7 separate regions of the Mus musculus genome follow, and regions 1, 3, 4, 5, 6 and 7 are each reported to be linked to region 2. Evidence: microRNA targets listed by miRTarBase, many of them from high-throughput screens and not tested one by one. Region 2 holds a microRNA gene; each other region holds the end of a gene's coding sequence. Distances are between the middles of the regions.
Evidence for each region. Region 2 holds the annotated microRNA mmu-miR-223-3p (UGUCAGUUUGUCAAAUACCCCA, at 960-981, opposite strand). A microRNA usually pairs through its seed, bases 2 to 8, with sites in the 3' UTR of a target mRNA and lowers its output. Matches are read on the target gene's strand: a 7mer-m8 pairs with bases 2 to 8, a 7mer-A1 pairs with bases 2 to 7 and ends in A, and an 8mer does both.

Region 1 (3,082 bases), not on the chromosome of region 2:
GGTCAATGGAATCCTCACGGTGACCACCTTTCTGTTCTGCCGGATCCTTCTGTTCCCATTCATGTACTGGTCCTATGGCCAACAAAAAGGACTAAGCCTGCTCCAAGTGCCATTTAATATCCCTTTACACTGCAACATGGCCAATGCCGTCCTCATCTCTCCCCAGCTCTACTGGTTCTCACTGCTGTGCAAGAAGGCGGCCCGGCTCTTTGACACTGCCAAAGCCAAAAAGGATGGTTAATTACTCTCAGGGGTCAGGCACTCACACTAGCTGCCTCAGTATTCCAAGGACCAAATCATGCCTGGGGTAGTCTCTGCCTTCTGGATGTTGATAAACCTCTGGATTTTTGGTCTTCTTTTTTAAAAATCCCCATTACCTCCTCCTTCTAACCAGCCTTTTGCAAAAGCACTTTTTGTTTTGTTTTCTGGTGATAACTTGGATCCTGTCAAAGCCCCACTGCAGTAGTTTTACCAGCAAGCCTGAGGAGCCTTCCTTGGGCCTGGGAAAGAGTTTTGGGAGGTGAAGCACTGTTCTCCCCTTCCCACCCACTCAGGGCAACACCCGGCAACACCCATACTGGGTCAGAAGCAAGTGACAACTTGGTTCTTGAAACTGTGTCATTTTCCAATACTAGGAAAGACATCGTGGGTATGTCTTTTACCGTTTACTAGACAGCCCTTGTCCTTATCTGTATATCAACAATGAATTCTCATGCCTGCTGACTTCTAGTCAGAAGGGCTCACTGACAATGGGCAGGAGGCAGGGCTGAGAACCTGAAGCACTTGAGTAGGTCAGGAGGCCAGCAGAGGCCAGCATCTTTGCAGGCTTTGTATAAAGACCAGTATCAAACTTGTGAGCTTCTTGAAAGCAGTTACCTACACCATTTCTCCTTTTTAGCATGGCCTCTCATGACCAGTTTTCTGTGTCCACACACACCAAAAACTGGCCTGAAACTCCAGGGACAAGGTGGAGTGATGGCTTCTATAGCAGCTTACTGGGTAATCCCACACTGACACTGCCCTTTCATACAAAATGGACACAGACGTCTGCTCTCCAGGTGTCCTGTAGGCCAGTGCTTCCTGCTAAGACAGACCCATTTCTGTGTTGAATGTTCTAGCCACAGAAAGCTTGAAAACAGGAGAGAGAAGCCAGACGAGCCAGAGCATGTCCTGTGGACCAGTGCTGTTTGTTAGCTGTGTGCTGTAGCATGTGGTGTAGCACAGATCATCTCTCACCACAGGCTGGGGTTGAGAGGACCTGCTGCCACTACTTCAGGTGGCAGCAAAAACACTACAGTGCCTTATAATTCACTGTCCATGGACTTCTAAAGGACTGGATGGTTGCATCTCAATTTTTGAGTTTCAGTCTTTAATAGGTGCCATTTAAAAAACATAAAAAATGCTGTTTTGTGTTTTTTTGTTCTGTTTACTGTATCCACAAGTCATCCATATAGTAATTAAATTGCACTAAATTCTCTATTTGTTATGTGCCCTGGCGCCGAATTCCCCAAACATCCGAGACCCAGCCTGACTACCGTTTTCGGTAATTCCTAGTCTGGTCACGGAAGGCAAATGGCCTCTAGGCAGGTCTTACTCATAGTCCAACATGTTGGTTCAAAGTACCAAAGGATACACGGAAGGTGCCCAGAGTTCACGCTCAGTGCTCACATTTAACTTCAGGTTTTCCTTCCTCTGGTGGATCCCAACTAGAAGTTGGGAGGGTGGAAGCCTGCCTGCCTGCCTGCCTGCCTGCCTGCCTGCTGACCACAGTTTCCATTAGGTGGGAGAAGAGTACCAGAGGAGTAAACCATTTTAGATGAGGGTGTGGGTAAGTAGGTGATGGGACCTTTCCTCTCACCTCCCTAAATGATACCTCCCCTAACCAGTTCTAAGAGTTGTGTAACATTGCCCTGGAAACCTTATGCTTTCATTTTTATGCTTCTGTATTGTTGCCTATGCCACTCAGTCATCAAAACCAAAACAATCTCACCCCAGGAAGAAGGTAATTATAGCCACCCTCCAAGGGCACCAGCTATTCAGCAGCCCTGGCTTAGCACCTCTCCCGGATGTGCTGAGGCGATGGTTACTACCCCCTTAACAGTGTTCCTTGGTGCAGGCCTCTTTGGCACAAGTCAACCAGCGCTGAGTGAGCCCCTTTCCACATCTGCCCTTTATGAGATAACCTTGGTAAGAAGATGGAATACAAAAATGCTTGCTAGTAGCCCAGGCTGGCCTTGAACTGAGCCTTCTACTTCAGCTACCCGAATGCTGGGCTTATAAGGATGTACTTCTACCAAGCCTAGTTGAAAAGACTCCACGAGGATGTCACTAAAAAGAACATATAACGTTTCTCCTCCCCCTTACCCCCCACTCGGTAGCTCCAACTTTGGGCTTACTGCCAAAACTAGGTGGAGAATTTCAGTTACAAACATGTTCCTCTCCAGCTGGCCTTTTTTTAACTTTTGGATATTCCTATGCAGTCCAAGTTGCCACCCTCTGCCTGAGCCTCCTGAAGGCTGATGCTACAGGTGTACACTCCCATACCTGTCCTACTGGCTTGACTTGATCTTAAAGACTACCTAAACCTAATTTGGAGCATATTTAAGCCCAAACTTCTGAGAAAGGCTCAAGATAAGATTAAACCCAAGAGAATTTTATTTAAGTAGTATGTGACAAATATCTAAGAAAACTATTTCTTTACACTGCTCTTGTACTCCTTTCACTGTGTACGTTCTTATAACTTTGTTTGTTCTTAGCTCTGGGCCCTGCAGAAACACCACGGTGGACGGAGGCATAGTTTTGTTCTGCCCTCAACAGGTCAGAAGTTGTTGATCTTTTGTAGCAGGGTTTGGCGCCGCTCCTCAGGGCTAATGTTCTTGGCGATAGACTTTAAGAAGCGCTGCTCGTCTACCTTCTGGAGCAAGGAGCTGACAGAAGGGTTGCTTTTGCTTAGAGTCTCGTAGCAGGTAAGGATTTCCAAGGCCAGCACGTAGAGGGGTTCACAGACCTCCTGAGGGAGCATGGCCATGATATGCAGAACATGACAGAACATCTGGGTATAGACAAACAGGGTTTCCTGAGT
Region 2 (3,082 bases):
ACCAATAATTCAAAAAATTTTTCCCTCTGAGTCTATTCTTTCTTCTTGCCCTCCTGCCCCAGACCTAAATCTTATTTCTCAGAGGAAAAAAAAATCCATTTTGGTTACCATCTTGTATACACTATAGCATTAGAATACCCACAGTTTGATTTATTTTTTTCGCAAAACCCTGGTTGGTATTTGACCTATATAGCAAAAGGTTATTGACTAGTAAAACATCAATTAATTGGTAAATATTTATTAATAATTAAAATGTTGGACAATGGTATGAGAGACAGCAATCAACTGAATATAATAAGCTCTAGATTCTTACAATATAATAGGGAATTCAAGAACATACCCTGGAAAAATTCACTGACAACTTTAGAAGATGTGTTGGATGGTAGGACATATAATAGCACATACCAGTATGTGGTTAGCCAAGGAGTAAAGAAAAGTATAGGTTAACTTTCAATAGTGCCAAGAGGAATTGGAATTTGGTAGTGTCTGAAAGCCCAATGAAGATAAACAAGAAGGTTCTTTTAAGAATGATAAAAGCAAAGTGGAAAAGAGAAAATGTAGGTAGCTTAAGATGTGCTCCGAAGGCCAGACAGTGGATATTTATTTCCTACTTTCTCATAGAATTCATGATGCTTGTATGAAAATTCTGCTATTCTGGCTGCAAGAAGAGGAAAGTGAAAGAAGACATTAATAATAAATCAAATAATACTCTCATTCCCTGTATCCCTCATGTACCACTATGCAGTCCATGGCATTTTCACAATGTACACAGATGCATACCAGACTTGTAGACCCCAGAGCTGCATCGTTCCTACTCTGATGTTCTCTGAATAAATGTTATAGTTCCCTTAAAGACATAGAATAACACCAGAGAGCTTCATGTTTCATAAGCATTCATATGTAGGCAGCAGGCTATGTGCTCTGTCCTGGACCTGGAGCTGATAGGCATGAGCCACACTTGGGGTATTTGACAAACTGACACTCTACCACACAGAGTGTCCAACTCAGCTTGTCAAATACACGGAGCGTGACACTGCAGATGGCCAGATCAGGAACCTCCACTGGGCAGCAAGAACATGCTGGAAGATGTGCAACTGGAAAGAGAAAAAAATAGGGTGATTATATCTTACCCTAAGTGTGAGACAAATGGCAGACACTAACATGACTGACTAAGACACACCAAAAGAGGGAAGTGAACAAAACACGCTAATGCTCCAAACAAAAACGGGGATCCTGGGTGTTTGTCTGGAGATTCTGGTGGCCCAAGCCTCAATTAACTCTTCTATTCAGCTGAAACAGGAAAAAATTGTCATCATTCTGTCCTCGGGGACAATTTATGTGTTCCTTCCTCCTATCAACTTCTTGTATGCTCTGTTTACCCTGGTTATGTACCTAGATGTTGATTTTTAAAACTGGATTTGAATTCTACCTCTACCATTAACTAGCTGAACACCTTAAATAAATGAGTTTATGTCCCTGAAACCTACTTCTTCCATAGCCACAAAAATGCCCATGAAATCATGGCAAGAATATGTAATAATGCATATAAAGCCATTAATTTAGTGTTTGTTACCTAACAAATACTCAAAAATTGTGGCTATAGCCAGGTATGATAGTACATGTGTGCATACAAGCTTTCATAGACAGAGATAGGAGAACCTCAGATTTAAAGTCAATTTGGGCTATATAATACTACCCTTTCTCAAACAAAAAAGTAAACAATCAAGATCTAGAGATAAAACTCAGTAGCAGAACACTTACCTAACTTGTACAATACTCTGTATTTGATCCCCTGTACATAAATAAAAGTGACTAAAATGTGCTTTAAAATTAAACATATAAGATAGATACTAACAGGGGAAAAGATAGATAATTTATTTAACAGAATTGAAACAGTAATTTCTTGTGGCCTTAGCCGGCTTTGTCTAACTTGGTTGCCTTTTCTCATAAGCAGTAAAGAATTAATGATATTAAAATGCCCTTATAAGTCATCTAGTTTTACCCATTCAAGATTATAAATGAGAAAATGAAGTCTGATGTTTAGGGAAAGACTTCCAAAAGGTCATAAAACAAGTTGTTTACAGTTTGGGAATTATATCATCCATCAGCTCATTGTGTCCCTTGGCTGTCCACCCCACCACTTTTTCTTGTCTGCTTTTTATATTCCCTTGCAAAAGGGAGAGCAACAGCAACAAAGAGCAAAACAGGCAGTGGATTTTGCAGGGAAGTATTAAGATGTTTGAACTCATAGCTACCAGGGCAGCTGCCAGAAGAGCCAAGCCATCTCAATTTATTTGATATTTTGTTTAGCATCATGATCCTGTTATTCAAAATGCTTGATAGTATCAAATTTTGTCCTACCCAGGTTTAAAGTTTTCTTGGGCATCAATTGTCTTCTCTAGAAATAGAGACAGAAATCTTACATCTCAAGGTCTTGAAAAATGTTGGATGAGACTTCTAGAGCTTTTTAGAAGGGAGCTTAAAGAGACCTTATTTCCAACTCTGGAGCTAGTAAAAGCCAAGGAAAGTGATTAAAAGAGAAAGGAGTAATGGGTTATTGGTTTTGGTTTTCTTGACAGCATCTCTGCTTATCATCTGCTGTAAGGAGAGCTAGACACTTTAGAGATATCCATAGCCTCTCAATTGCCCTATCCGACCTCACATAACCCAAGAACACTGGAAAAGAGCCATGAAAGGGGCTAAAGAGTTCTAGTGCACTGACTTAATAGATTATTATAAATACTGTTTTCCAGGATTGATGGAGAAGTCAGTCCTTAAGCTGGGTAAGGGACTATTTCATTTTCATTCTTGATGTTCCAGTTCACACCTATTCAGAGGAATACATATAAGAGAAGCAAGTTTAGTTGATTAAAGTTAGTCAGACCCATAAGAATGAAGACATAGATGACTACATAGTCAGTCTTCATGACGCAAATTGAAAGGCATAAGCTTGGTAAAAGAGGTATAAGATTTTACCAAAAATCTATAAATGTCCAGAATAAGCCACATATCAGAAAATATATTTGGTGATAAAGAAGTACTCAGGACCATGTCTTAATATCCAGATTTTTTTCAATATAAG
Region 3 (3,082 bases), not on the chromosome of region 2:
TATATCTGTGAGTGACTCTAAACATGAATACAGAAGGGAAATAATCTGTGGCCTGGAAAAGGCTGCTTATGGGCTTGTCCAGATGTAGATACCATAGAGGCCTTAATATCTGAAGATAGGAAGAAGAGGAGGACAGTTTTAGGAAAAGAAATACAAAGAAATTCAGAAATGTGTGAGAATAAAGATTGTTTTAAAAATGATGGCTGGTACTTAGGCTAAATTCGGATGTGTTCACATTGGTCATCTGTTGACTTTTCTCTTCAGGTACGACGGCGAAGCTCCAAACGAGAGAGACGATGAACACGTCATTAACTTCTATTGTGAAAGCTTTGGGGGGAAAAAACATTTTTTGTCTAAATATGAGGCTAAATAAAGCCTTGGATGCACAAACCAGAACTGCCAAAGCGTGGACAGTTGGACTTCGGATGACCATGGGTTTGTGGTCACACGTATCAGCCATCCACACAGTGATAACACTGACTCCAGAGTCTTGTGAAAGTGTCCTGTGTGATGGCTGTGTAGACACAAACTAAAGAAGACACATGTAAATAATCCCACTCCCCCATTTCTGACTTCTAAAGTGCTTGTATAGCTTTTATCTGCGGCTTTAAACTGACAGGACCCAGCTGCTTACCGGATCTGTTCATTTGAAAAGCATTTGCTAGGGTGGATCTTAAGCAGTACGTAGTCTGTCAGTGTTTGTATTTGAATTCTCTGCAATTTTACTGTGAAAATTTGTTTTCAACAATTGGTGTCATTTTCTCAATGTCACTGTTTGTTGGAGTTAAATGGTTTCTTCCTGCCCCTCTTTGTAGCTCATCTATGTTTACTCCAGGGCACTGTTGTCTTCTGAGGTGCTAAAGCATCTGCCAGCACACTAGAACATGCCTCTGTCTGGGGCACGACATGGATTGTGAGATAGTCCTGAGCTTATCTGATGACTTCACACCTCAGTATTGGTCCCAGAATTCTCTGGCCTTTCATGGCAACGAAAATTTTAAGAAAGAGATTTAAAATATTTTAATTTTAAAGAGTGTGTTATAAAATAATGTACTAAATTCTTTATTCCATTCTATCATCTTTTTTCAGTTTATATTAATCTACTGTATCAATAAAATTCTGTAATTTGAATGGGCTTTTAATAGTCTAGAATGTTATTGTGTATAGATATTACTTCTTGAACATTATGTTCAGAAATGCAAATTATTACACTATAATATAAAATCTGATATATACACGTTAGGAAAGTTCTCATTCTCCATAACCATGTAAAGTTAATCAGAAACAAAAAATTTTATTGATGCAGTGTATCTTTATAAATCTGTTCTTGAAAGCCAAGTGTTTTGTATTTTATAGTGAGTTGCATGTTTATGAAAAATTGCTGATCATGAGATGTGCTTTTCTGTAAATTCATACTTAGCCATAGTATATGATAGATGACCCCCTAACATAGTTTTTCATCAAGAGTTTATAATTGTACTTTATTTTGGAGCCAAAAAAAAAATTGTTTGGTGGGGGTGGTGGTACTGGGTGGCAGTGATTTATCTAGTTTGGGCTGAGACTTTAGGCGTCACACTCACAAACACTGAGAGAGTCCCACTGCATCCAGAATAGGAAAGATGGAAATTTGCCTGGGTTTAATTTAGAGGTCTGCAAAGTCTAAAAATGGATTATCAAGGCAGTGCCCTTTACATAGAGTATGAACCAAAATGTATTGGTTGCTACCTTATGCTCACCTGAATTAACTTTAGATTTACGGGTGCAGGGTTGGTTTTGCACAATTGTTAACAGTAGAAAAGAAAATGACATTTTGAGTTACCAAGTTACTATATCAAGTTAACAGAGCAGTTTCATATAGTACACCTTTATGTTTCCAAAATTGGATATAATAAATTGGGATGCTATAAAGAAGTGACTATTTTAGAAATGACATCATGCTATTTTCTAGTATGTATCGCAAATGATGTGATTATTTTTCTTTTTAATATTTCCTCATGTTTATGAAACACTTTATTTTTTAAAAGATGTTTGAATTGTGTCTTAATCCTTCAGTGTTTAACTTTCTTCATTTGCAACAGTGTTGGCACCGTGGTGATGGGAGGCCTCTGCCTGTGAGGACAGCTAAGGCTGGGTTATGATACTTTGTATTTTAAATGTTTCATTAACTCAGCTCTCCAGACAATGATGTTTCGATTTCAACAGTACAGAAGCATGTTTTTAAACTTACAGCATAAGTAATAAAGGATAGCATTGTATTTTTGTCATCAACTAAACTTCATTGGAAATATTTATGGAAATATATGTTTAAAACCATTTTATAAAACAAAAAAAATATTATGGAGGATTTTTATTTGCATGATCATAGTTCACCAGATTTCATTGCACATTAATGCTGTGCATCAGTTCATTACAGACATGGTCACTGTAGATTTTGTTTGTGTCCAATGCCAATGAGCCTGTAATTTTACAACCCGCCTGTTCACTTTTGGGAGGATTATAATGTAAAATTTCCATTTTTGTGTAGAGAAATAGGTGCAATAATGATCAAAGTTTTTATGTCCTGAGTCTCCATCTTGGGGGCTTATTATTATGTTTAAACTTAACACTTCCTGTACTAACACTTGGAGAGCCACATACTTTAAAATAAAGCTAAGTATGTATACGACATTAATTGCTACAGTTGTTAGCATACTGCAGTGGTCGTACTCATTTTGAGAACGTGTACTGTCTGACATTAAGGACCTGTAACAAGCTCATTGTAACAAGCCGACTGTGGAAGGAATCTGGTGACTCCCAGGTGAGCCTTGCTTGCTGCAGTACCCCACTAAGCTCTTTCAGTGATCTCCATTCTATGTGTAAATTAGAAATGTGCTGTAAAACTTGTTCTAGACATTAAAGTTTAAATGACTTTCTACATCTTCTTACAGCTTGCAAGTTTGACTTTTAAAGGTTCCTTTTGCCTACTGAAAGAATATTGGGGATTTAATGATTTGTTTAACTTAGGCATAACCTTCTACCACATAGTATTATGTTATCAATGAACAGTTGGTTCTAGATGTCCAGTTTTCAGACACAGTTTTGG
Region 4 (3,069 bases), 75 Mb from region 2:
TTCTGAATGAAGAGTCCTGGAATCTGTCTTTTAGATATCTTATATCCCATCCTCCTCACACATCCACAAACCCCTGAGCCAGAACCCTTAAAATCCAGATTTCTTTGACTCCCTATATTCAGAATGTTCCTAGACCCCAAACCCTTCAGAAGCCCCCTGAACATTCTGAGTGTCCAACACTCAGGCCCTTTGTGCTTCTCAAATACCCATAGTCACCCTGAATTTGGGGTCTTGGAATTCATAACACTCTAGGTCTTAAATTCTCACACAATTCTCCGAATTTAAGATCTAGAACCTTCCCTGTTCTTAGATACCAGGTCCAGATATCAAGTATTTGAGCTTTGAGTACTACATAAGTAAGTCTACATAGACTTATTTATGCCCCAGACTCCTACAGAAATGGAAGTTTCCCCCAAGAAGTAGTGCTCTGCATTTTCCCGAATCTTAGTATTTTCTGAGCTTATGCCCCTTAATAACTCCAGACTCCTATTGTTCTGGGCCATACACACCTACAGTCTTTGACAGCCTTAATATAAATCCCTCTCTTTTATCAGCAGAAAATCCTCCCTAGTCCTCAGGGACACAGACTCCTCTGGGCCTTAGTACTAGACACCTCTAGTCCTCAAAAATTAACCTAACATATATTTTAAGATTCATAGATCCCTGGGCCTCCCAGCTCAAACCCCAAATCAACCCATTCCTCCCCACACACCAGATCATCTTTATGGTGGGCCGTGGCTATCTGTCTCCGGACCTCAGCAAAATCTTCAGTAATTGCCCCAAAGCCATGAGGCGCCTGCTGACTGACTGCCTCAAGTTCCAGCGGGAGGAGCGGCCCCTATTTCCCCAGGTGGGCTGGGTAGGAGGGCTGGATACCTTGGGGAGATGCACTGTGAGTAAAGAGATAGAGGCAGATATTGAATGTGAACCATGTTGAAAGCTGGGGATTGGGGATATTGGAGTATCTCTGGGACTCTGGACACCCCTCTTCATCTCCACCCGCTCCCAGATTCTGGCCACGATCGAGCTACTGCAGCGGTCACTCCCCAAGATTGAGCGGAGTGCCTCCGAACCCTCCTTGCACCGCACCCAGGCTGATGAGTTGCCTGCTTGCCTTCTCAGCGCAGCCCGTCTTGTGCCTTAGACCTCACTCCCAGCCCACCAGGGAGCCAATTTCAGCATACCATGCCAAGGCACACCGACCTACCAGCCAATAACTGTTCTGCCTCTGCCTTGATACTGCCTCAGGATTCCCTATCCCATACCCTGGGAAATTTGAGGGACCCCAAAAACTGAGGTCTCCTGCTTTCTCCATAATTTGGTCTCCTCTTGGGTTTGGGGATAGTTCTAATTTGGAGAGCTGTTTTATCTCCAATGGCTGTGACTCAGTGCAAGGATTCCACTCAGAACCTCTTTCTAAAGTTTTTGCCTGATGTGTCTTCACTGGATTTTGGGGTTCCCAGCACCCCATGTAGATTTGGGGGTTTCTTTTTGTCTCCCCCACTATTCAAGGACTCTCCTCTTTACCAAGAAGCACAGAATTCTGCTGGGCCTTTGCTTGTTTATTTTGCTTCCCGACTCTTCTCTTGGGGGTTCAGAGCCGCTGAGGGGTGGGGCAAGTCCAGGCAAGGAGTGGAGGTTGGAGGAAGATGCAGACCACAAAAACAGTGCCACTGTACGCATTACCACAGGCGGCATGAATGAGGACCACATATGCCAAGCATGGCACAAAAGGAGGCCAAGTCAGTCACAGATAAACACATTGGCAAAGGTAGGGGAGTGGGAGACCACAGGCCTTCCTTGTGCAAAGGATTCTGAGGATGGGTGGAGTTTGCATATTTAAAGACAGCTGTCAGAGGCAGGAAATTGGGGAGGGGTTTCTGGAGGAGGGAACTTAGGGGTCCTAGAAGTGGAAGGAACTTCCAGTATATTGAATGGGATGGAGAGGAAGAGGTGAAGGGAAGTCCTTGAGGGACTGCTTGGTGGATGGTAGGTGGCATTTGAAGATGTGGATCTCCAGAGAGATGACCTATGGAAGAGGTTTAAGGATAGGGGCTTCTTATGGAATTGGAAATTTCTGATTAGGAGCAAGGTGTGTTGGAGAGATTCAGGACCAAGAGTAGAATAGGGTTTTTCAGGAATTTCAGAGCTCCAGGAGAGGATTCGATGTATTAGGTCAGAAACAGGTTTTCTGCCATTCAGGAACTTTCAGGGAAGAAATCACCCTTTAGATGTACCAGAAGTAGAGGTCTTCAGGAGTTTGGAGGTTCTCAAACAGATCTGGAGGTGACCAGGAACAGGATTCTAAATGGACTTGGGGATTCCCAAATGTGAGAACTGGATTTAGGACCAGGTTTCTCAAGGGACATACTGAGGAATGAGAAGTGGGCTCTAGGAGAACCAGGAGAGGGGTTCTCAAGGGATTTGGAGGTTCCAAAAGTGAGAAATGGACTCAGGACCCAGAGAGGGCTGTCTAGGGGTTTAGGGGTTCTCAGAGTGGGATGTCAGTCGGAGAAGAGGCTGGCGAAAGACTTCCTCAGGCTGCGGATGGTCTCAGCTTTCACCTCGTCCTGGCTAAGGCTGGGCCTGGGAGGGGCTGGCTCTGGAAGGTTGAAGGCATTGGTCAGAGACTGGGATTTGCTAGAGAGAGACAAGGTGGAGGCATGGGAGGAAGGGGGAAGAGGAAGGGGAGGAAGGGAGAGAAACACAATGTTACCCTAGGCCCAGCCCCAGCCCTGCCCCTCTGATCCTGAGGCTGTGCCTGTGACCTTCCCACCCCCAAGCATGCCCCTGAACCCTGATGGATTCTCAAGGGTGATGAAGCTGAGACTGAGGCGAATGTGGGGTCAGCTGAGAGGACTTAGATATAAGATAAAGTGGTGTGGTTTAATGGGAAGATTCCTTGGTCAGTTTGATATGGAGGATGAAAGGAGGGGTTCCAGCAAGGAGCCTAGGAGGAGCCTGGGCTAGGGACAGTCTAGTATGAGGTAAGCCAGTCTGAGGGGGAACAGATGGGGTGGGGGTGGGGGCCAGGGAAAACTTTGGAGCTAAGGGCTAGGGGAATAGAAT
Region 5 (3,082 bases), not on the chromosome of region 2:
GCCCTCTTCTGGCCTCCAAAGGCACCAGGCACACATATGTGACATAGACATATTTACAGCCAAACACCCATATACAAAGTTTTTTTGTTTTTTTTTTTTAAATCAAATAAGCCAGGCATGGTAATACATATCTCTAACCCCAGTACTTGGGGGCGGGGGTTAAAGCACTTGGGGTGATATAGGCAGATCTCATGTGTTTAAGGCCCTCCTCATCTATATAGTTATAGGCCAACCATGGCTACATAGTTGAGACCCTCTCTCAAAACAACCCAAAACCAAATGAACAAAGCTAAGCAAACCCAGGATGAGAAGGCCCTATTCCTACCCAGAGTGTTCAAGTATCTCTAGGGTTCTACATCTGAGCAACAGGGGTGCTTGAGTCTGCTTTCAGGCTCAAAGTGGAGGTTTGAGGGAATAATGAACACTTAGGTGACAAGGGCTGACATTCTTCTTCTTACTACAGCTACAGCGGAACATCTTGGCCTCTAACCCCCGGGTGACCCGATTCCATATCAACTGGGACAACAATCCAGACAGTCTGGAAGCCATAGAAAACCAGGACCCCAATGTGGACTTCAGCCTTTCCCTCAGTTGCACTCCTGTTAAAAGCCTGGGCCTCCCTAGTTGCATCCCAGGCCTCCTCCCTGAGAACTCCATGGATTGCATCTGACAGGGGAGCCAGGTAGAGCTCAGTAGGACCACAGCAGTCTCCTTGCACACCTGGAGGGGACCTACAAGCCCTCAGTCAGACATGCTTGGTCATCTCAAGGATTTGGGGACCACCAGCTGTCTCCAGATCTGTCAGCCCCAAGAAAAAACAATGGGCCCCAATCTCTTCCATCCAGGTCCAGAAGAATCATCTCACTTATGACCTACTGACCTCTAAAAAGCAGGTACTTGTATTGCTCATTCTATGCGTCATTTTTCTTTATATATTATCAGTTTCTATGAGATGCTTTCTGAACACCACCTTCTGTGAGGCTTGCTTGGGCAGTGTCTGGCTAGCATTGGCCAGAGGTTATCACTCCTTCCAACTCTAGTTCTTGGGGACTAGGCAAGGAAGAAGTCCTAGTTCGAAGGCCAGCTCAATACAATGGCTATCCTTTCAGAGTGTCTAGGACATTCAGTCTAACTAGTACTACAAAACGCAAAAGTGAGCTCCCCAGGCCAATGAGGGATGTCAGGTACTTTGGTCACAGCCACCTTTTCATCTCCTGACTGAGCCTGGCTTTCTGAGAGGATTGCCCTAGGTAGGTATATTGGAGGTCCTGCTTCATGCATTCTGGCCCCATAGAGTCATCAGGGTTTGCTTTGACCACATGTTCATTCTCATGCTATACCCAAATACTCTGGGATAAAGGAGGTGTTTGGCAGGCTGACCTGAAAAACTCCCATTCCATCCACCTCTATCCTAAGCCCTTAGTTCCCTTGCTGCTACATGTATGCTATTGTGATTGCAGTGTGTATATTAAAAGGTTTTATATTAAAAGTTTTGGTTGTCTTAAGAATAAAAGCACTTCATCTAGATTGTTTTGCTTTTTTCTCTCCCCTCTCCTCCGTCCACCCACTCACACATAGCAGGCCTGGGATTCATTCTGTAGACCAGAGATCCACCTGCCTCTGCCTCTGCCTCCTCTGCCTCGAGTGATAGGATTAAAAGTGTACAATACCATACCTGCAAAAGGGTTGTTTTAATGTTGGTTTTTTTTGTTGTTGTTGTTGTTGTTGTTGTTGTTGTTGTTGTTGTTTTTCGAGACAGGGTTTCTCTGTGTAGCTCTGGCTGTCCTGGAACTCACTTTGTAGATCAGGCTGGCCTCGAACTCAGAAATCTGCCTGCCTCTGCCTCCCAAGTGCTGGGATTAAAGGCATGCGCCACCACTGCCCAGCTTAATGGTTATTTTGTTTTGTTTGGTTGTTTTTCTTTAGGGTTTATGGTGGTGGTGGTTTTGTTGTTTTGTTGTTTTTTTACGGGGGTGGGGGGAGAGGTTGGTTTGTTAGTTTGTTTTTTAGGTTTTTTTGTTGTTGTTGTTTTGTTTTTGTGTGTCTTTTTTGAAATAGAGTTTCTCTAGTTATCCTGGAACTTGATCTGAGACAAGGCTGGCTTCAAACTCAGAAATCTACCTGCCTCTGCCTCCCATGTGCTAGGATTAAGGGCATGCTCTACCTTGCCTGGATTAAAACTTTTTTTTTAATTTTATTTTATGTGTTTTGGGTATTTTGCCTGTATGGGCCGGCTGTGTACCACGACTGGTGTCTGCAGAGACCAGAAGAGGGCTTTGGAGCTTCTAGAAGTGGCTGTGAATCTCCATGTGGGGAGCTGGGAATTGAACCAATCCTCCAGAAAGCAGCCAGTGCTCTTAAGTCAGCTGGTGCCTGTAAAAAGTTTTGTAATATGCTGTTTTCTTTTTTGTCCTTCTGTGGCTGAACAGCTTTGTCACTTTCATATCATGAGTAACTTCTTGTCCTTACAGTGGCTGGACCTTCTCCCTTTGCTTGCTCCCCTAATTCCAGTCTCAACTAGTTGTACAGTTTGCACCACAACCTGGGGGTCAAAGCCTATTTTTCTTTGCCCATTTTTTTTTTTTAATTTTGGTTCTGTTTTGTCCAAGCTTAAGTATGCCAGCTGTTCAATAGATGGCGGCCAGTGATTTTTTTCTCACTCTGACCTTGACCCACAGGCATAGAGCAACATTGTGACCCAAGGACACACAGAGCCACAATTTAGATAATTTCACTTAGCTGTGGCAAAACTCCCCAAATCAGAGATGGAGTATTTGTCTGTTCAGCCAACTCGCATAATCCAGAGGAACCGTACTTTCTGGCAGGGTACTTTCCCCCTCGGGGACTGCAGCTGACCTAGTAGCAGGAGTACATATAGTTATTGGCTTAGAAGCTGGTTGTGCATTGTTGAGCAGTGAGTCTATAGGTATATGTACCTCAGAGTCAACTACCCTTTGGAGTCCAGGAGAGGTAGCTCATCGTCCACTCAGCACCGTCCACCCAGCACCGTCCACCCTGGCCACCCTCTATTACAGAGCTCTGGTGAGGGTAGGGATAATTTGTTTCCAAGAGTACATTTAGC
Region 6 (3,082 bases), not on the chromosome of region 2:
ATCCCCAACCCCAACCTGCTCCTTAGCCCTGCCACTCACCACAGGTGCCTGATGGCTTCATCTCCCATTTCTACTCCGTATCGGAGCATGTTAGCCCTGTGTTGGCCTTTGGCTTCCTCGGACCCAAGCCCCAGCTCTCGGAAGTCTGTGCTTTCTTCAAGGTACATGACAACACTCCTGCTTTCCTGCTACTGCAGACACCCCTCAGTGCCAGAAGAGGGGTGGGACCCGGGCTGCTCTAGGTGACCACTATAGGATGAGCCCAGGAAGGCAGTTGCTTAAGGCTGGGAGAGTGGGCTGGGGCTTGGTCATTGAGAAAGGGACTTTGTAGAATGTAGAAAATGTCTCAGGACCCAAACCCAACACCAGTCTCCTACCCCTAGCACCAGATTGTACAATACCTGAGGGACATGTTCGACCTGGACAACGTGCGCTACACATCTGTGCCAGCCCTAGCAGAAGACATCCTACAGCTGTCCCGGCGGCGCAGCGAGATTCTATTGGGCTACCTGGGGGCACCTGTGGCTAGTAGCATCGGGCTGAATGGGCCACTGCCTCGAGAAAATGGGCCCCTGGAAGAGCTGCAGTAACAGGGGATGGGCTGGAGGGGAGAGGTGGCTGTTTGGGCCTCAGATACAAGGTGATAGGAGAGAGAAAGCTGCCACTCCCTTCCTTTGGGTTGGTATCCAAGGGCCATGGTGGCCAAGGGCCATTGCCCCTAAGCTTGCTCCACTTCCTCACCTGGGAATTCCCAACACCCAGGGGACAAATTTCCATGGAGAGGAACCACTAGAAGCACTGATAGCAGCTGCCCTTGGGGTTCCCTGAGCAGCAGAGGCAGGCCAGAGTCAGCAGGGACTGGCCAGGGGCAGGTAGCAAGAGAGAAAGGTGTGGGAGCAAATGGCTCTTGAGTATGGACCACAGAACCCCAGTCCCCCCCTGCTGCTGAGGGAGGGCAAGGGATAGTTGAGGGATAGAACATACAGGGCTAGGTGGTGACAGTCACAGGGTCCTGCAATTAGCAGCCACCAATAGCTACATTAAGTCCCAGCACCTAGGCTTCTGGCCAGTATGGAAAGCCATGTCTGGGCCATCCAGAGGTGGGCTTGCCCCATGTGTGCTCACATCTGAGCAGGTACTCACCCTTCACAAACCCTTGGCGCTGTTCTCCACATTCCCACACCCTGCCAAAGATTGTTTTTATCCCCTCTGTCACCAAAGATGGAGGAGGCAGGACTGGCCGCTTCCTGCTCTCTGGTGAGCCAGGAGCTCCTGGGCAGTGCTGGGCCCCAGTCAGAGCTCACAGTGGCCCATCTACTGCTCCAAAAGTGAGCACGGAACCATGGCAGGGTGGGCATGGGCTGCACAGCGGGCAGCTCCCCCTTCCCCTTTCTGACAGGAAGCTGGACTCAGCACTTTGCCTTCAACTCCATGCACACGTGCTTTGGGGCTGCCACCACCCACGTCCTGCAGACAGTTGGCATTTGTCACGGCAGCTGCAGTAGTCCTGGCAGCCCTCCTTTTGCCTGAGCTGGGAAGTTTTTATTTATTGCCTTAATACTTTATTTGGCTGTTCCATCCCTTCCAGGTTGTGACACCAGGAGAAAAGACTCCTGGTCTGGAGTTGAGCACTGGCTCCTGGAACCAAGTTCCTCTCCCTGGAAGGGAAAAGGGTTCCCCAGGGTCAGCAGGATGCAGTAAAGAGAGGGCAGCCATGGCTCTGGGTCCTCTCTGAGGCTTGTGCTCAGAAGGGAGCAGCCCTCATGCACTGTCTTGACATTCCATTCATTTGCACTTACCCTGAGCTGTGAATGTGACCCTGGGCTAAGGCCTGCTCTGCTCTGCCCCTGACCCATACAGTGTGGTATTTTCATTTTTGTCCTGTTCATGTGTCTATGCCCCACCCTCTAGCACTCAACCAGCAGTGGTAGAGTGTGTGTAAGGCCTGTGAGTCAGATAAAGGACCGAAGCGACTCTTCTCTGTGTCTTGCTGGGTAGAGGTGGGGGCAATGCTGAGCCAAAGGCTGGACACTTGCCCTGTACCATGGGTAGAGGCTCCAGGAGGAACAGGTCAGGAGCAGCCTGATACGGCCAGGTGAAAGCTTGACAGGATGTGTGTGTCCCTGGGATGACAAGATGCAGATGTGTAGTGGGTGGCCTGCACTTCTTGTCCTCAGTTCCCACATCTGTAAGTCATGGGCATTGTGCCCAGCTAGGTGATTCACAGCCTGTCAGGTCTTAATGTGTCTTCATAGGCATCGGGCTTAGGGTTACTGCTGCTGTGAAGAAAGACCATGACCAATGGCAGCGTGGGCAGGAAAGGGTTTATTTCACTCACAGTTCCACATCACAGGCCATCATCAACAGCATTAAAGGCAGGAGCCTGGAAGGAGGAGCTGATGAAGAAGCCACGGGCAGAGGCTGTGTAGTGGCTTGTTCTCTGTGGCCATGTGGGCCAACCAGTTTAGCTGAATCATCATCTGGTCTCAGTGAGAGCTCCTGCCTTAAAACACGACTGGAGAGCGATTAAGAGAAGACATTCAGTACCGACCTCTGTAGAACATATGTGTATATAGACCCAGGATTTTTCTGTTTTCTTTTTCTTTCAATGTAGCCCTGAATGTTCAGGTCCTTGTGTGTGGACCAGGCTAATCTTGAACCTACAGAGTCCTGCTTGGCTCTGTACCCAATTGCTGGGATTAGTCTTGGGCCACCACATTCAGCTTACCACAATTCTTCTAGGGCTGAAAGTATATCTGTGGCCGAGCACTTACCCAGCATTCACAAAACCCCAAGTTCAGTCCTCAGCACCGCACTCTTTAAAAACAAAGCAAGCGGCAAACCTGATGCCTTTAGTTACCATTCTGTCGTGTTTGCTTTGTATGTTTCCAGAGAATTTAGAGTGAACTTCAGGTGTGAACTTCTTTCATAAGCACCTCAGCAAGCAGAGCTCTAGTGCAGCTTTCCAGTGTGTGGACCCACATTCCAGTTGCACATAAAACAGCGGCTCTGTCCTGTGTGTGCAGGAATTCTCACAGGACTTAACTAGTCCTATGTAAAAAGGTGTGGGTATGGTGGTGCA
Region 7 (3,077 bases), not on the chromosome of region 2:
GAGAGAGAGAGAGAGGGTCTTACTCTGTAGCAGGGCTGATCTTCACAGGAATTCTCCTCCCTCAGCCATCTGAGTGCTGGGATTACAGGGGTGATCTTTGATTTCTTTACACTGCTGTAAATGTGTCCAAACTGATAGAATACATACGTACTGTGGCTTTAATGTGAAGAGCCAGGTGTGATGATGTCTCATGTCTCTAATCTCAGCATTTTGGGAGACTCGGGCAGGAGGGGCCTTGAGTTTGAGGCCAGCCTACATTAAAGGATAAAACTGTCTCCAAAACAAAACACAGGGGGGAAAGTATATAAAGAATGAAAACAAGGAACAAGCCTTTGGTTCCTGGGTACTGTGCACAGACAGTGCTCTCCGTATCTCCCTTTGTGGATGTTGGGTTTTCTAGCATTAGAGCAACCTAACAGCTTTAACGCTTTGAACATCTGAAATGGGGAAGCCGCTATGACTATGACGTATGACTCTAGTCAGACATACCACCTCTCTTATTATTTAAAACCAATTCTTAATAAAACCTATGAATATTAACCTGTCCTTAGTTTTCCAACGTTTAGGATATATATAAAACAATCACATTTTGACAAACAGGGGCTCTTCAAATGTGATGTCTGGCAAGGATTTCGTCCCGGAGTCTAATAGCAGAGCCTGTAGGCTTCACTCCTGAGCTACACTGCTACACAGGTGTAGTTTTGAGCCCGCACAAGTGATTTTGGATCATGTGGAGTACGAGTAAAAGGTTTTCATGGAAAGATGGTCTTAGGAGGTCTAGCCACAGTGTAGAAATCTTTCTTATATAGACCTAAAAGTATTTTTGTTGATGATTCATAATATGAGAGAAAATAGTACAATTCACATGGTTATTTAAAATTTTCAATCAAACACAGGGCTATCTTCCCAATAGGAAACTTATTCCTGGTGAACACATCAAGTTTTCAGCTTCACAGTGAGTGGTACTGCCAAGTACAGAGAAACACGGAACACGTCACCAGAGCACCCGCTCAGTTATTAACACAGTGGCCAGCTGACGTTTATTTATTTGACAGTGGATGACCAAGAAGCAAAAATGTATTACCAAATGTGGACAACCAAGAAGCAAAAGTGTATTACCAAATGTGGACAAAGCATGTAACTGACATAAGTTTTAATGGGATCAAATGAAATATATTTCTGATTGCATTAAGACACACACATACATTGTTAGACAAACAGACGCTGAACTGACGGCGGGAAGGTCTTGCAGTGGAACTTGGGTGGTCAGTATTCTCCTATTTTCACGCCTTATATGAAGAGAAGAAGAAAAGTGATACACAGAGGCCTGATAGATTATTTCTTTTCAGTAGTGGTGAACAAGGTCAAACCAAAGGACAGCAGGCAAGACACAGACACTGGCTCCCACAGCGAGAGGTGTGTGGTAGGAACAGTGAACTCCTGAGAGCATCCCACTGCCTTCTCACATGATGGCTCAGTCCTTTTTATTTTCAACAACCATGTAATTGAAATTTCGTCATGAATTGGGACTTAAAAAAAATCCTAACAAAATCCTGGGTTCTGTATGGAAACATTTTTGTGCAATACAGTTATTAAATACTCACAAGGTAGCCTATGCTTTAATAATAAAGATCTTTGATACTAAAGTTTTTTATTTCTGCTAGCTTCTACTTAACCATTCTTCCAGAAGTTATTTTTATACATATTTATTCATTATTCAACACATTCTGTAAAATATAAGAACTAATGTAGATTCTCAAGGTCATATGCGGTGACAGATTACAGGGACACACTGATTCCTTGTTGCATACAAGTTACATATAAGAAACATGGCTGGCACATTTCAGTGATCCATGCAGAGTAGGCTCACACAAAAACCAAACCAAACCAAACCAATAAAAACCAATTAAACAACAGTCAGCCATGAAAACTTACACTCCCAGTCACCAACAGGCGTAACAGCAGAGACACCAGCACTGACAGCTTCGTTAGAACCGTGCTGGGCTCAGTCAGTTCTGTGAGATGGACCAGAAAGACACCGGCAACCAGGAATTTTCCTGGCTCTCAACACTGAGTTCAGACTAAACTCTCCTCACATGGCTTTTCCCTATACCGCAGGCATTTCAGGCTTCAAATAAAAACAATCGACCTTCACCGAAAAGCTGAAAATTGTCTCTTGTGAGTCTCTGGAAGCAGCTTGCTGTAGGGCCTTGAGGCAAATGCCAGGGCTCAAACAAACTGAGGAGCAGTCTCGAGATGTAAACAATAATGTCACCATCTTGGACAAAAGCTCTTCACAGGAAATCCTATCCCGGTAAGGCCAACTTCTTGGCTTTTGAAGGTCCATGTGTTTTATATTCTAGAAGTACCGCATATGGTTTTTTTGTTTCTATTATAGAGACTTATGGACTAGATAAAAGTTCATAGTGTTGCTTGAAAAAAAAAACCAAAAATAAAACCAAAAACACACAGCATGGAGAAGCCACTGAAAACCCAGCGCGGTGTTTTGGGCTTGTCTTTGTTTCCGGTTCACATTTTACTTTTATGGTTGGCATACGGAAAACCAAACTGGGAAATCATAATGTTGGAGTACTTTAAGGGCATGCCGTCGTAGATGTTAACGAGCTTATTTATACAGTAGGATCTCTGCAGAAAGTGCTCCGCCCGGTGCCACATTCCGGAATACCCGTTGGTTTCTTTTTCCAAGTTGACCATGTTTATGGGTTTCACGAATATCCCTGAAGGCTTGCCAGTGTGCCTGGTGACGAGGAAATTCATAGCGATGTCGTCACAGTTCTGCGTCTCATCGATCAGCGCGTGGACGGCTGCAGGCTGCTTCTGGAAGAGTTCCAGGTATTTGCTGTTGAAGAAGGAGGCTCCGATGAGCACCATGGAGTACTGGTCGCCATTCCCGGGCCCCGGTGTCTGCAGCTCAAAGCCTCCGTAACTGTAGATCCCGGAGGAAGTAGAGACGTGCTTTCTAGGTACAAATCCTATGATCTGATCAGGAAATTGCTGAAAAGAGGAGGAAAAGGAACAGTTAAGTGTGGTGTTTCTTTGGAGCAGACATGGATAAA

Region 1: the mRNA of Tlcd3a is a reported target of mmu-miR-223-3p. Seed matches in the 3' UTR shown: 7mer-A1 at 743-749 and 7mer-A1 at 1,010-1,016.
Region 3: the mRNA of Pds5b is a reported target of mmu-miR-223-3p. Seed matches in the 3' UTR shown: 8mer at 611-618.
Region 4: miRTarBase lists Syn1 as a target of mmu-miR-223-3p. The part of its 3' UTR that is shown has no 7-base or 8-base seed match.
Region 5: the mRNA of Asf1b is a reported target of mmu-miR-223-3p. The part of its 3' UTR that is shown has no 7-base or 8-base seed match.
Region 6: the mRNA of Miga2 is a reported target of mmu-miR-223-3p. The part of its 3' UTR that is shown has no 7-base or 8-base seed match.
Region 7: miRTarBase lists Extl2 as a target of mmu-miR-223-3p. Seed matches in the 3' UTR shown: 7mer-m8 at 2,009-2,015.

Annotation. Positions count from the first base shown.
Region 1 is chr11:76,207,939-76,211,020 of GRCm38, forward strand. Tlcd3a (TLC domain containing 3A) reads left to right here. Exons shown (of 5, transcript NM_027773.4): 5 at 1-1,479. The coding sequence ends at 241. Gemin4 (gem nuclear organelle associated protein 4) reads right to left here. Exons shown (of 2, transcript NM_177367.3): 2 at 2,633-3,082. The coding sequence ends at 2,819. Among named protein-coding and RNA genes, the nearest start is that of Tlcd3a, 7.4 kb to the left of the region's middle.
Region 2 is chrX:96,240,783-96,243,864 of GRCm38, reverse strand. It overlaps Mir223 (microRNA 223), which reads right to left and starts at 1,048; the gene lies at 939-1,048. F630028O10Rik (RIKEN cDNA F630028O10 gene) reads right to left here. Exons shown (of 3, transcript NR_030718.1): 3 at 223-2,827.
Region 3 is chr5:150,807,549-150,810,630 of GRCm38, forward strand. Pds5b (PDS5 cohesin associated factor B) reads left to right here. Exons shown (of 35, transcript NM_175310.6): 35 at 265-3,082. The coding sequence ends at 300. Among named protein-coding and RNA genes, the nearest start is that of Gm36447, 5.9 kb to the right of the region's middle.
Region 4 is chrX:20,858,970-20,862,038 of GRCm38, forward strand. It overlaps Syn1 (synapsin I), which reads right to left. Exons shown (of 13, transcript NM_013680.4): 13 at 1,542-2,640. The coding sequence ends at 2,505. It overlaps Araf (Araf proto-oncogene, serine/threonine kinase), which reads left to right. Exons shown (of 16, transcript NM_009703.2): 15 at 716-850; 16 at 1,010-1,552. The coding sequence ends at 1,144. Among named protein-coding and RNA genes, the nearest start is that of Mir5617, 2.7 kb to the right of the region's middle.
Region 5 is chr8:83,968,671-83,971,752 of GRCm38, forward strand. It overlaps Asf1b (anti-silencing function 1B histone chaperone), which reads left to right. Exons shown (of 4, transcript NM_024184.2): 4 at 464-1,525. The coding sequence ends at 670. Among named protein-coding and RNA genes, the nearest start is that of Prkaca, 2.8 kb to the right of the region's middle.
Region 6 is chr2:30,383,546-30,386,627 of GRCm38, forward strand. It overlaps Miga2 (mitoguardin 2), which reads left to right. Exons shown (of 16, transcript NM_001242407.1): 15 at 45-161; 16 at 384-1,974. The coding sequence ends at 590. Among named protein-coding and RNA genes, the nearest start is that of Dolpp1, 7.2 kb to the right of the region's middle.
Region 7 is chr3:116,026,951-116,030,027 of GRCm38, reverse strand. It overlaps Extl2 (exostosin-like glycosyltransferase 2), which reads right to left. Exons shown (of 5, transcript NM_001163514.1): 5 at 1,012-3,015. The coding sequence ends at 2,530. Among named protein-coding and RNA genes, the nearest start is that of Extl2, 20 kb to the right of the region's middle.